3 linked regions of the Arabidopsis thaliana genome follow. The protein of the gene in region 2 interacts with the protein of the main gene of each other region in a pairwise test. Each region holds a gene or a part of one and is shown on either strand. Other genes may lie near its edges.

Region 1 (4,737 bases), on a different chromosome or scaffold from region 2:
ACTGTTTATGAGAATTGAACTGTTTCTTAAAACTTCTGAGAGATTTGTTTTTGCAGAGGACGGAGATCAAATCCAGTATGAGCTTTTAGAATTCGTTGGTCGTCGTACTGTCCCGCAAGTTTTTGTTAACGGCAAGCATATTGGTGGATCAGATGGTATGATGAGCTCACTATCTCCTCCAAGTTTCATTCTTTTGTCCAAATTTCCCTTGTAACTCACAAGCCTTGGCTGTTTATCTTGTTGCTTCAGATCTTGGAGCTGCTTTGGAGAGTGGTCAGTTGCAAAAGCTTCTTGCTGCAAGTTGATATTTGAGGACCTCGAATGTGGAATCTACAGTATGTGATTTACAGGAATTAGAAATCTTTGCTAGTTGTAGACTGAATAAGCGAATTGATATGTATGACTCAGTTATGTAAGTTATGATGGCATTGATAAAGTCTTGATCTTTTGTTACTGCACTGCTCTGGTGATTGTTTCGCTTAAATAATCCATACTTGTGTGCCTTAGTGAATGGTTCATACGGCAAATATCAGATCATGGAAAGAAGAGCAAGTACAAGAACTTGTTATTGAAATTTTACCACAATGGTAATATACTATTATGGTGCTAGTTCATGATTCTGTTGCAGCACATGACTCTGTCATTAATCGAAGATTTACTCATTAGGACTACAATTCTTGCCTTCAGGGTACAGAGAAGATTATAGAGAAGAACTAACAGCATTATTGCTTCTATCTATATAAAAAAAAGCTGATCAAAATTCCCAAATTCATGGTTCTTGGTTCTCTTGACTGTTCTTGATAAATCCATTGTGTTTAAAACTGACTTAGTCATCGCTTTGAATTGGCTACTATTCAAGTTGATCAGTATTCGCTTCGAAATGGCTTGTAGGACTTTAGATCAAGAAGTACTCCAGCTATGGACCCTGCAGCTGCAGCAATGCTAACTACTAGACACCCTAAGCTGAAGACTTGAAGGCAAACCCATCTGGTGCTCCATCTAGGTATCTTCTTCTGCGCGATGTACATTTCCACTGGAAAATACACCGTCAATGGCCAAAACCCTAGTGCCCCGAGCAGACCCACAACGTCGTTGAAAAACGGAAGAAGCATTGAGATAACTGTCGTTATGATCACAAACACTGTCCTCCATATCAACCTGAGTAAGCCATTCCACGCCACACAGAAGCTTTGATTATTACATACACATCATGTTTAAAACTCAGATCCCATTAGTTTAAAGGCAAGATTTGTACCTGAAGACATTCAAGCGGAGAGGCTTGAAACCAGGAATTGGAATTTTGATATCTTTTGCAATGAACTCACTATCAGGGAATTGAATGGAAGCTTGCTTCTCGATGAAAGCAAACAGAGGTTGGCAATAGACTTGGTATGCACCAATAAGGTGAATCACAATGGCTGCATTTGCAATGTCAAGAAGCCAATAAGGATTATAAAACCCGAAACCGGTTAAGAGATTTCCCGGAGACAAGTCTCCAAAGGCTGCATATCCCATACATCCACACAACATATAGAACATAGTCGTTACACTGACGCTCACAAGTGTTGCCTTCTTCATCGTCTTCTCTTCTGATGGTGGTGACTTCACTGTGTCCTGTTTCAGATCCCAGAATAAAAAAAGCTTCATGATGGGACCAGTAATTAATGGCTTTGATCATCAAGACTTGTAAAGAAGGTATAAGTACCTGAATCTCGATGAGGATAATGGAGTAAGAGTAAGCAAAAGCAATGTCTCCAAGAGCTTGAAAGGTCCTCCATATCTTCTGTGTCTCTGTTACTGCTCCTATGCTAATCCCAGTGAGACTTCCCTTCACCTTCCCATTAACTGATGAAACCAAAACACATAAAACCTATTAGTTTTTTACCTATGAAAGTTCTTATTTAAGACCCTAGAAGCTTTATGGTTCAAGAAACGAACCGACAACTTGGGCTATGCCGAGGGCGAGACCGGCTGAGGAATAAGTGAAGGACATAACGGCGGCGAGGATTGAGAGCCACCAAAGTTGATCAAAATCTGGAATCTGAGAGAATAGAATCTGGACTAATCCAAAAGCTATCATGTAAGGATTACTGTTCATGTGACATGGATCTTTCCCTCCACTCTTGTGGAAACAGTTTGATCTCTTTATTGCCCTGTTTTTCAAAAACAAAATTTTGTTTATTTTTTATTATCATCAAAACCTATTTGGTCCATTACCTAACTTCGTAGTTTTAAGAGTTAATTAGTGAGAACACTCACATCATGCTTATAGCTGAAGCAATTGTGTAGCCAATAGCAACACCAAAGATATTAAGATACTGAACAATCCCACATAGCGTCACCTTCACGCCACCTATACAGAACAATGAAAAATGTTAATGCTCTGTTCTGATCTGATCTCCATTGTCCGATTTCTACTTTGAAGTTTTGTATTTACCGAGATTTGATCGGACAGCATCCATATAAGTGTAGTTCCTCTTGCCGGAGATAGGGTCGCCGGAGCGGTAACAAGCAGCAAGAAGAGAAGAAGTGAAATAAGTGACGGCAGAGAAGAGCAACATCACCACCGGTCCGGCGAGCCAACCTAGCTGCGCCGTAGCCCACGCTAGTGACAAAACTCCCGAACCTATCACTGCCGTTATTATGTGTGCACTCGCCGTCCAAACACTCCCTAAAACCCAAAATTTAAAAACTTTCAACTTTCTCGTTTTTTCAACATAACTAAATCAGAGCAGGTTTCGAGTTCAAATTAATATTTTTTTGAATAATTAGAGAACCAAGTCTCAATATGAATTAAAGAGAAAGAGAGAAACATTGTTACCAGTTCTTTTGTTTTTCCCGTCGTCGTCCAAGTACTTGGAGCCGCCGGTTTGTGGCATATCGACGGCGAGAACTGTTTGGTGGTTTTGAACCATCTTTTGTTTGTTTTGCTCTGTTTTTTTGGTTCTTCGTTCAATCTATGAAGTTACATGCAGAGTAAGTGTTTGAAAGAGTTGATCTTTAGAAGGTAAGGGAAATGTTTAATGACTTTGTTAAAGAACTGTCTTGTGGATGAAGATAAACTGAGAGTGGAGTGCAGATTTATATACACAGAAACTGGTAAAAACACTCATTTGAGGCAAACACAGTAAAAGGTAAAAAGTGTATTAAAAAAAATATATCTGTCTTGGTAAAAAGTTGGTAGGACCACTATTACTCAAGTGTTACTATTGAAAAATTTGACTTCATGATTTATAATTTTATATGAATGATTCGATACCAATTGGATAAAAACAAAAGAAAAGAGAAAATATGGGCAATGGAAAATTGGAAGTCCAAGATGATACCATCGTTTTCATTTGGACTTAAAATGTCATTGTTCAGCTTTTTTGAAAGAAAAAAACAAACATTCATGTACGTGTGTGTTTGAAGCTTAGTGTTATTTTCACTTACAACTAGATTTTATTAGAGTATTTTATGAGATTAGAGAAAATAAAATGTTGTTTTAAAAATAATAGGCATTTTGGTTATATCATTTGATTATTTACGTATTTCGCTAATTTTAAATTTTATTAACCGTGGACAAACTAAATTTATTTAGAAAACAGCTTGGTTTTTTCTTGAATATTTCAATGTAAAGTGTTATCGCATTAAGATGTTAAAAGAACATTCATGGAATCATGACATATATATGGAGAAATCTATGCCGACTTTAAATAATGAGTACACGCAATCATGTGTAGATTTCAAAATGATAACTCAAAACCAAAAGGTGATTTTTATAGTATGAGCAATAGTAACGCACATATACTATATCTTACCTAGAATCCGAAAGTATATCACCCCACCATATAAGTTTCTGTAGGTAACTAACTTATGAGGCGTGTAAGCTATATGTTCTTCTCGAAATGAAATATTTTGATTACTTTGCCAACTAAACTCATTTAAACATAAATGACATACACAAACTTGTATTGGCTTGATTCGTGGGAAACCAAATATCCTTTAAGGACTTACGAGAAGATTTGTATTCAGACAAGTCATCATTCAAAGGAAATAGTCTCCAAATATAAAGGGAATTATATTCATAAAAATAGAATCTATATATACATTGTTGCAGTCATTTTGTGAAATAAATCCTGGAGTTGGAATTTATTTACAATGGCTACCATTGGCTTTTAATTATTGTTTTTTTAGCAATAAATTGATTAACAAATAAAAAAACATTCGAAATATATTCCAATCCCATATATCACGCAGATTTTTCCAAAATTTGAAATAGATTTCGACAACTATTTAAAACAAAAAATGTTTGACAACCCAAAAGACAATTGCAATCCCTTAAAATGAGCGAAACGCAACTAAATATATTTCTTATCTATTCACTAAATCTTATGTCTCCAAAATTTGAACTACATTTCGACAACTATTTAAAACAAAATTTTGTTTGACAAACTAAAACACAATTGCAATCCCGTAAAATATTTATTTTAATTATAAATTTAAATTAGCGGGGTACCGCGGTTTATTTTTACAGGACGAGTTTGGTGGAACGGGTTTAGAAGGACGTTACTTAATAACAATTATAAACTATAAAATAAAAATATTTTATAGATAGACATAATTTGTAAAATTTTATATATACTAATTTAAAAAAATAAATTGTCTCCGCGGTGTACCGCGGGTTAAAATCTAGTTCATTCTTTACAATTCCAAAGTTTATAACCGCAAAAATGCATACAAAATGTACCAGTTTTT
Region 2 (3,722 bases):
ATGTTCCTCGACTGTAAGCCCGCTTGCACTATAAAGTTTTCTTTTTGCTTTCCAAAATCAGATGCTATCCACAATGCCATTTCTCGGACCACATCATGCATCTTCACCGTTTCTTGATTCTCCTCCATCAATAAGCATGAACGAACTAGAATACCGATAATTTCATAACCTTGGTTCTCAGCTTTACCTTTGTTTCTATCTATGAATCCCTCACCTATCCAGTAATCTACCAAATCATTTTTCTCAATGTTATGATCTTCTGGAAACAAAGCACAGTACTGGAAGCACAATTTGAGCTGTTCACTTTTTAAATTATCATAGCTGTACTTTAGAATAGGTAGAATCTCATCTTCCATACCTGAAAACTCAGCTGCAGATGAAGTCAAAACGTCGATTGCTGAACGCCATTCTTGCACTGTCCTTTTATATGCCATTGTTTCACCAATGACGTTAAGGGCCAATGGTAGGCCGCGACATTTCTTAGCAACTGTTCTTGCGACTGTGGGAATCTCAGGGTGGCTCCCTAATGTGATCTCTCCTACTTTCTTAGTAAACAAATCCCACGCATCATCCGGGGCTAAACACCGGACTTCCATATCGCTATCAACTCCCATCCGCCCGCAGATTTCTTTCAACCGAGTGGTGAATACTATTTTGCATCCGTTTTCTCTACTCGGAAACGGAACTCCCACCTCTGTTAAATCCACTTTACTCCATATGTCATCCAATAACAAGACAAACCTTTTGTGCTTTAACACATTGTAAATGTTAGATGCTTTTATGTCCTCTGTTTTCTGTTTCCACTTCTCGTTATCAGACCGTAACTTCTCCCATATCTCATCTTGGATCCTCTGGATCTGTAACTCTTTGGAGACCACAATCCAAATCACAATATCAAACTCGCCCCCAACTCTAGAGAATCTATTGTTGATATGACTGAGAAGTGTAGTTTTACCTACTCCACCCATACCATGAAGACCAAGAATCCCAATCTCATCTTCCATTAGACGGTTCCACGCACTCTCAAGCATTGGATCCATAGCAACCATAGGTCTAGTAGGCCTCTCTTCCACTCTTGCTGCATCAACTCTCTCAGCCACCACAGCGAAATCTCCCTGATATCGAAGAACCTCAACTTCCTCTATCATCTTCATTACTCTCTTCCCATAACGGTAGCTTGAGACAAGATTCTTGGAACAAAACCCACAAAGACACAACCTTTGGACTTGAACAGATCTCATTCTGACGAGTTCGTTAACTCGAGGTACTATTGCTTCAACTTTTGAAACCCATCCTTGCACAACAGAAAGTCGTTGTAAACCTCGTCTTTCTTCAGACAAAATCTTTCTCAACAAATCTTCTCGTCTTTGCTCAATCTGCTCAAGAGCTCTCTGCAGAGCTGTCAGATTCTCCTCTAAGCCATGAATGTAATCTCCATTCCTGTTTAAGCAACTACAAACATTCTTCGTCAACTGATCACATGATATTGATACAGAGACACAACCTCCCATCCTGCGTTTACACAAAAGAAGAAGTAAACTTGTGGCAGAGAACTAGAAGAAGAAAAAGGATAAGAGCTGCTGAGTTGTGAAAATTGACAATAATCCAAACTCTAAAGTCGTCGCTATTGTAAACTTTAAACAATATTCTGAAAAGAGAAATTTCTACGAAAAAAGACTAAAAGAGTATCATTTCAGAAAGATAACTTTTTTTCAACGCAAATAACTCTTTAATAAATATTGACTGAGGTTTGATTGAAAGAGATAAAAACTTCATTTGCCAGCAAGATTGGCACAAAACTCGAGCAGAGGACATCTGTAGGAGTTGTGTCGTGGTCGTCTTTGGTTAAGAGAAGAAGAAATGGGTTCAATGTTCAGTGGAAACCGAATGAGCAAGGAAGAGATGGAGGTGGTGGTGAACAAGGCTAAAGAGATCGTCTCTGCTTATCCCGTTGTTGTCTTCAGGTTTGTTCTCGTTGAAATCTCCCATCTTTTTCATCTGGGTATTACTCTTTTCGTTCGTGATTATGAATTTGTTGAGAAAATTGGATGTTGTTGCCTTGAGGGGTTTTGAATTAGTCAAAAAGTTTGAGTCTTTACCATCAGGGGGTAGAGTCTGCTTCTATTTGACGCAGAGGCACCAATGGATCATTGTCTGCTTGTTTTGTTGTTTCCATCTGTGAAATTAGGTCGTGAATGAAAGATCGAACATCATCTTATATTAGTGATTCTCCATCCAATTCAGAGATTATTTGTGGGTTCCCTAGACGATTAGGGATGTGATCATGTAATATATACTGATAGATCCAGTTCTCAAATTTGATTCTGACTAGTCTAGAAATCTTTGAAGAAGCTAGAGTTTTTGAAGATTGATCCGTGCAAGCTCCTATGACTGATTTGGGGATGCCTTTCGGAGTTTTGAAATGAAGCTTAATTTGTTGTTGCTTAGAGTCTTGAGTTTGATTTTGCTTAGTCTTAAAAGGAACGTATTTCTTTCCACTTTTTGAGATGGTCTAAAGGTTACTTTTCAAATGTAATGTCTTAGCTCTGATCCATATTTTCTCTTTCGCAGCAAGACATACTGTGGTTATTGCCAGAGGGTGAAGCAGTTACTGACGCAGCTAGGAGCAACTTTTAAAGTACTTGAGCTCGATGAAATGAGTATGAAACCAAATCCCTGTCAATACCTGTATATTAATATATCTCAATGAACCTGAATTATCTCGATGCTATGTTTACTTCAGGTGATGGAGGTGAGATCCAATCAGCTTTATCAGAGTGGACTGGACAGACCACAGTTCCAAACGTCTTCATCAAAGGAAACCACATCGGTGGATGCGATAGTAAGTGAAAAACCTACACAAATTCTCTGCACAATAATGGAAATTCGGGTTGCCGGAAAAACTAACTGCGTTTTTCGTGTTGCTTCTATATTTTGCAGGAGTGATGGAGACCAACAAGCAAGGCAAGCTTGTGCCTCTACTTACTGAAGCTGGGGCTATTGCAGATAACTCTTCTCAACTTTGATGAAACTCGAAACTAGTGTGTGAAGAGTGTGTGTTGTGTTTAGATCATGAAAAAAGAGGTATCGTCACATACTCAATAAAGAAAGATCATTCCCGTTGTTTAATACAGAATATCTAAGTGTATACTTTTCATGTTGGTGTTTCGGTTAATGGAATAAAACTTGAGAAATCTGCTCTAGTTTCTTGCTCTAAATTACTGAAGATTACTGGTTGCATCCCAAGTTGACTTTGTAGCAGGCCGGTCAAGTAGGTGGATTAAGGCTTTTGGTTGAACCAAACTTATCTAGTAACCGGCCGTGTAGGTGCCTTAAAGGCTGAAAAACTAATATTAGCCAAATCGATCAACGGAAAGTTACGATTGAAAGAGAAATGAATATTCGAACAGCAGAAGTGCATTTTCACTGATTTGTGTAATCCAAATTCGGATTCGAACAGCACAAGTACATTTTTCACTGATTTGTGTAATCCAAATTCGGAGAACCAATGTCCAATGGCAATGAATAATGTCAATTTGGTTAATCTAGATTTATTATAAAGTATAGTGCAAAATCGTAGTTTAAGAGAACTTGTGGGGTCAATTAGTAAATATTATCTAGAGCCGGTTAAAGAAGAGAAACTGAGGAAACTGAATTTGACCAGAGAGTGTGTTCAAGCGAAGCGTTGTAGAAGAAAAGACAAAGTTTTGGAATAAGCGGAG
Region 3 (5,826 bases), on a different chromosome or scaffold from region 2:
TAACTTGCAATGACCAAAGATGCAACCTAGTCTCATCACCTGACCCTCCAATGCCCTGCAAATCAGATAACCAATCATGCCCTTACTACTACTGGTATGGGGATAGCTCCAACACTACCGGAGATTTTGCAGTAGAGACTTTCACGGTTAACCTCACGACAAATGGAGGGAGCTCGGAGTTGTATAATGTTGAAAATATGATGTTCGGTTGCGGTCATTGGAACCGAGGTCTCTTCCATGGTGCTGCAGGCTTGCTTGGTTTAGGAAGAGGCCCGCTTTCGTTTTCCTCTCAGCTTCAGTCTCTTTATGGTCATTCCTTCTCTTATTGCCTTGTCGACAGAAACAGCGATACCAACGTTAGTAGCAAACTGATTTTCGGAGAAGACAAGGATTTGTTAAGTCACCCGAATCTGAACTTCACTTCTTTTGTCGCTGGGAAAGAAAACCTCGTCGACACATTTTACTACGTACAAATCAAATCCATTCTAGTCGCGGGAGAAGTTCTAAACATACCTGAAGAAACATGGAATATCTCATCAGATGGAGCTGGAGGGACGATCATTGATTCAGGTACAACCTTAAGTTACTTCGCAGAACCTGCATATGAATTCATCAAGAACAAGATTGCTGAGAAAGCTAAAGGGAAGTATCCGGTCTATAGAGATTTTCCAATCCTAGATCCTTGCTTCAACGTCTCTGGCATTCATAACGTTCAGCTGCCAGAGCTTGGGATTGCTTTTGCAGATGGCGCTGTTTGGAACTTCCCGACAGAGAATTCTTTCATATGGTTGAATGAGGATTTGGTTTGCTTGGCAATGCTAGGAACTCCCAAATCAGCATTTTCAATCATTGGAAACTACCAGCAGCAGAATTTTCATATACTCTATGATACAAAGAGGTCTAGGCTCGGGTATGCACCTACAAAGTGTGCAGATATATAATCTTTCTTGTCGATTTTTAAGTCCATCAAAGCAACTGAACACACAATAAGAACAGATTCATTTTTTTCCCTTTAGATTTTTTCATTCTTTAGGATATTCCTTCAAACATGTAATGTATTTGCTGTAGAACAAAGATCATACCAAACTAATGTACTTATTCAAATTCATTTCTGAATACAAAGTGATTTAATTTTGCTTGCTACATGCATTTTCTCAAACTCTATAGTCTACCATCAATGACAAGTAAATTTGTAGTCACTGGAATTGTCAAAGTTTGATTAGTAATCCCTGAATTGTTTGTGAGTTTAGGACTCACTTTGGTAAGGTTTTAAGGCAAAGGAGTTGTCAAATCATCGTCTTTGTTGATCCAATTTGAAAGAAATGCAGAAAATCTAGAGAAATTGGAAACTAAAGAAGCTTGAGTCTATTGCAGAACACAAACTATACAAAAGAAATCGGATTATGTACCTGAGCATGGTCGGAGAAGAGAGTTGCAGAAAAGAGGTGTCTCTGTTTTGCAAAAATAACTCGTTTAGTTCTGATTTTTACAAAAAACCCTCATTTTACATCTTCTAACAATAATTAATAATTAATTTTAGTTAAAGAGATATTGATTACTTAATAATTCTTTTAAGCCAAGAGTAATTAATTAATTAATTTATGGCAGTAATTGTTGTATATTCTAGTGTGCCGTACCACTTGTAGCAATTAAATTTAGTAGATAGTATATTGTGTTGTCCAGGAAATATATAAATATAAAAAATAATTTTTATTTTTGTCTCTCAGACCAGACCCAACCCATCTCCTACAACCATCTGTCTCGGTGGTGTTCTTTGATCCTCTCTCTCTTACAAACCTAAAATCTAGGCATTCGATCTCTTGGGGAGGATCGAGAAGAAAAGAGCGGATTCACGATGAAGATCTTAGCGACTCTTTTCGAATCAACCAAGGATAAATGCTATGCTCCTAGCTTCATCGCCGTCAATCTCTGTTTGGCTTTTATCGATGCCGCTCTTGCTTTCATCGCATTCCTTCAGGTTCTGATTCTTGGTTCTTCTGATTTCCTGAAAGAAAAAGAAAAAATCAGTCTTGATTTGTGAATGCTAGATTGTGTGTGACCGTTAAGGCCTGTTCGGACAGGTGAAGCATTGTGCTTATTGATTAAACGAGATGTGAGATTATTGATTCTTGATGTTGAATTTAATGAATTGGTTGATTTCAGTCTTTAGAGTTGTGTGTCTGTTGTTCATGTGGTTGACCATTAAGTTTAAAGGTCAACTCTATGAATAACTCACGGAGCTGAAGTGTGTTTGTGTAGAATGAGAGATTTGGATTCAGGGAATCTGAATATGATATGAATTATTAGCATTAGAAAGTAGAATCTTTTTTTCTTTTTTAAGTGCTATGTGTGTAGATTAAGATGTTCTTTTCAAAGGTTCCTATGTAGTTTTAGACGGTGAAGTAATAAAAAAAAAGTCTTATTCTCTTCTTTTTTTGTGGGGTTTGGCTTATAAGATTTATCTTGGCTGCCTACTTCTTTCAGTTATCTCGATTTCACAGGCGGAATAAACAAGTTGGATGGACTCGGCAAAAAGTATTTCTTCTCATCCCAACCAATTTAGGCTCTATGTTATTGTTATATGGTTACAGTTATTGTTACTTTTCATGGCGTGTATCTGACACATCCATCATGAAAATTGCAGGTACTTCATCTTATGATTGCTTCTTCAAACACTGGTAAATCCTCAGTCATTTGTTGTTCAGGAACAATTATAATTGGGGGAAGTTTTAGCCAGTGAGTAAGGTCTCTATTCGTATATATTGGCAGGTTCTGTTATTTATTTCGTGGCTGCGGTTATAGCGACTTGCACAAGGTGGCATCATTGGTCCAACGCATTAGGTTTTCTACTCATGGGTAAATATTTCATTCCTTTGTGAAGGTTTGTGTATGTTTTTCATTGATTTGTCTTATAGTTAATTCCCTGATGAATCAAATTGTACTTGCAGCCTTTCCCAAAATTCTGTTTCTGGCAACTTTTCTCCTGCTTCTCTCTTTCTGGTATGTATATTCTCAATACTCTGATCATATTGTGTTGTCCCTGATTATTTTATCTTAATAATGATCTGAGATAAGACAATGATGCTTCTTCATGTTATAGGGTAGATGTTTGCCATCAGGGAAATGGAGAGGAGGATGATGATGATGATGAAGAAAATAGCATCCAACAAGTGTTGCTTGAAAAAAGCAAGAGCAAGCCAGGTTCTTCGAATGCAAGTGATCGTAGAAAGTGTTGCTCTTTCCATGGTATTCATGTTGGAACCCGGCAGAAGTTTGTTGTTGCGGTATGGGATACTTTCAGTTTTGTGCATTAACCTCTAGCCAAGTCATTTCTATGATCTTTATAAAAATGTTTATCTTTTTTGCTAGGCAATTATTCTTGTGTTCATCTTAATGATATCATTTGCAATCCTTATCTGGATCGCTTCCGGAAAGAATCCTATGAATTCTTCATTATTGGCTGAGGTATGTGGTATTCCTCTGCACATTGATATTTCCTCTTTCACTAAGTTCTTAAGCTCGAGAAATAGAAGACTTTTGTCTATATTTTTTCTGGTTTTATGATAAACTCACTTCCTTATATAGGTGTATGTCGATATTTTTGCTGCAATAATCCTAATCACTGGAGGAGGAATCTGCTTCTATGGTAAGTGATTTCTTAAGTTCTTTTCTGGTTTCAGCTATTCATATTTTTCTTCTAGCAATTCGTGAGATGTTTTGGTCAGTGGTTTACTGGCTTATTGCTATGATTGAACAGCGTATATTCACAAACTCTTTTATGTTCTTTAGGCCTGCGTCTGCTCTTTAATCTAAGAAAGGTGCGGTCTGAACAAGTTTCATCAGAGATGCGAAAGGTAACTAATGATTCTTTGGCTCAACAAGCTTTTCTTTCTTTGCACATGTCAGTCGAATCCTTACCCTGAAAGTACATTTTAACCATTTATAGGTATCGGGTCTAGCAGGAGTCTCAGTTGTTTGCTTCACTGTTAGCTCTTTAATCGCTCTTCTCACACACATTCCAGTAAGTCATTATCACTCAAAAAAGTATGTCTGTAAACCGAAACCTAACATTCGTCGATACATTTAACCAAAACCAATCTTTGATCTCAGCTCTTTTATCATTGGAACCCAAGCAAATTACACGGCATCAAAGCATTGGTTCTTCTGATCATATACTATTTCATAGGTGAAGATTTTTTTCTTTCGTTTTGTTGTTTTGAAGACCTTCAAATGCAGGGTTACTGATAAGAACGCTTTTTAAAGGTTCCACCGTCCCATTGGCTTTCGTTTTATGGGTTTTGCGGGAGTTACCCCCTCAAAACATTGTGAGTAGGCAAGAAGACACCAGAAGGATTACTTATGTCAACTATGAAACTGTTCCAAGGCAACCTCAAGGTCCTCAACAAGACTGGGCCTCCGCCACAGTGTCGAAAAATCAGGTATACAATTCTCTTGATGAACATCTAAATTAGGAAGTCATGTCTGACACATACAAGGAGTTTTATAGTAAGCTGTAAATGCATGCATCAGATAAACTAGGGGTGGGAATATAAACCGAAGCAAACCACAATATTTATAGCTAACTAACTCTATTTAGATAAGAAAAACTCAAACCGTATGCTCACTTTTAAGATAAACGCAATGTTGAGAGCATTCGAGAAAGGTTTGAACGAATTGCGGTCTGAACATGAATACATAGTTGAAACACTACGAAAAATCCTCAAATGAGAAAGAAGTTTTCATTCTATTAGTGACTTCTGAGGTTATTTCAGAGTTTCCTTTTTATCGACCATAGATTGTTTAGGGAGGTCACTTAACAGTTTTTGGTTCGGAAACGACGGCGCAGGTGTCTAAAGCAAGTCCTATATGAACCAAACAATCATCATAATCATTGACCTGAAGCAAACATCCGCCAATCTTCTTTTGTAGTTACCGGGAAAAAGCCTCGTGGGATTGCAGAATGGTTCTTAGGCCCAATGTGGTGTGTTGTGGTGGAGTGAATGAAAGTGGAAACAAGCTCGTTTTCTTCTCTCTGAGTCGCCTTGGAATACAAAAATTTGTTTATAAGATAGAAATGGAGGTTTGAATCTGAGAAAGCTGTCTGTAAATATTAACTTTTGATTGCAATTTATAGTTTAGCATCATGTGTTGGGGGGACTTGTGGATGGATATAAAATGTGTTCCAAGGAAGATATAATTTTGTCTTCCTTTCTAAACAGCGTCGTTTAAGCTGCTTTGTTATCATTTACATATACGACGACGCATCATTCTGGTTTTAAAGATGGCATATTACGTTTGAGATTAAACGCCACCGTTTTCGAAAGATAGCACGGGCATTATACGATGTCGTATTGCTTCCTCTTTCGAAAATTTGTTAGCGCGATTTTGTTAAACTTTTAGCGCCATTTTTTTTCACATTAAAAATTTGAGACCCCGAAACGGTATCGTTTGTTGGATGTTATCCTAAAATTGACGGATCTGATATGAAAAAAAAAATCCTTAAAAAAACCGTTTGAGAACTTTTTGGATATTTGTGGTCTTCTCTTTTCGTCTTTCTTCTCCACTGTCACCTTCCTCGCTAAGCAAAAGAATTTAGAGAGAGCTTCGTACTATGCCCAGAGAAAAAAGCAAAAAGCGAGAGCCAAAAAGATAAGAAAGATCAAAAGATGAAAAAGCTTAGACGTAAAAAAGCAGAAATATATGTATATAGAATTAACAAGTCTCTCGAAGAAAACCCTTTAGCCATCTTTATCAATCTCTTTTCTTTTGCGTTCTCTATAAAGTTGGTATAAAAGGAGATCAATTAACAAATATGTTAATCGATTA

What was found. Proteins that work in one complex are often made in the same cells at the same time.
Region 1: the proteins of GRXC1 (region 2) and AAP3 interact in a protein complementation assay, tested with the Arabidopsis thaliana proteins (one large-scale study listed by BioGRID).
Region 3: the proteins of GRXC1 (region 2) and Cand3 interact in a protein complementation assay, tested with the Arabidopsis thaliana proteins (one large-scale study listed by BioGRID).

What each region holds. Positions count from the first base shown.
Region 1 is NC_003070.9:29,074,338-29,079,074, forward strand, and holds AAP3 (amino acid permease 3), read right to left. Parts: upstream 3,054-4,737; 5' UTR 2,916-3,053; coding exon 2,822-2,915; intron 2,672-2,821; coding exon 2,438-2,671; intron 2,354-2,437; coding exon 2,260-2,353; intron 2,154-2,259; coding exon 1,939-2,153; intron 1,846-1,938; coding exon 1,706-1,845; intron 1,615-1,705; coding exon 1,256-1,614; intron 1,159-1,255; coding exon 864-1,158; 3' UTR 542-863; downstream 1-541. Other genes in the region: AT1G77370 (Glutaredoxin family protein), read left to right, coding at 1-155, 250-305. UniProt on the Arabidopsis thaliana protein: Amino acid-proton symporter. Stereospecific transporter with a broad specificity for GABA, tryptophan and both neutral and basic amino acids. High affinity transport of cationic amino acids.
Region 2 is NC_003076.8:25,284,492-25,288,213, forward strand, and holds GRXC1 (Thioredoxin superfamily protein), read left to right. Parts: upstream 1-1,685; 5' UTR 1,686-1,860; coding exon 1,861-1,964; intron 1,965-2,571; coding exon 2,572-2,660; intron 2,661-2,743; coding exon 2,744-2,842; intron 2,843-2,940; coding exon 2,941-3,026; 3' UTR 3,027-3,203; downstream 3,204-3,722. Other genes in the region: AT5G63020 (Disease resistance protein (CC-NBS-LRR class) family), read right to left, coding at 1-1,511. UniProt on the Arabidopsis thaliana protein: Has a glutathione-disulfide oxidoreductase activity in the presence of NADPH and glutathione reductase. Reduces low molecular weight disulfides and proteins.
Region 3 is NC_003074.8:21,837,479-21,843,304, forward strand, and holds Cand3 (tobamovirus multiplication protein), read left to right. Parts: upstream 1-1,706; 5' UTR 1,707-1,855; coding exon 1,856-1,978; intron 1,979-2,456; coding exon of another isoform or gene 2,457-2,484; coding exon 2,485-2,535; exon of another isoform or gene 2,536-2,644; coding exon 2,645-2,678; intron 2,679-2,769; coding exon 2,770-2,856; intron 2,857-2,948; coding exon 2,949-3,000; intron 3,001-3,100; coding exon 3,101-3,284; intron 3,285-3,369; coding exon 3,370-3,465; intron 3,466-3,585; coding exon 3,586-3,646; intron 3,647-3,789; coding exon 3,790-3,854; intron 3,855-3,946; coding exon 3,947-4,021; intron 4,022-4,110; coding exon 4,111-4,186; intron 4,187-4,263; coding exon 4,264-4,439; intron 4,440-4,846; coding exon of another isoform or gene 4,847-4,870; exon of another isoform or gene 4,871-4,929; coding exon 4,930-4,971; 3' UTR 4,972-5,285; downstream 5,286-5,826. Other genes in the region: AT3G59080 (Eukaryotic aspartyl protease family protein), read left to right, coding at 1-941.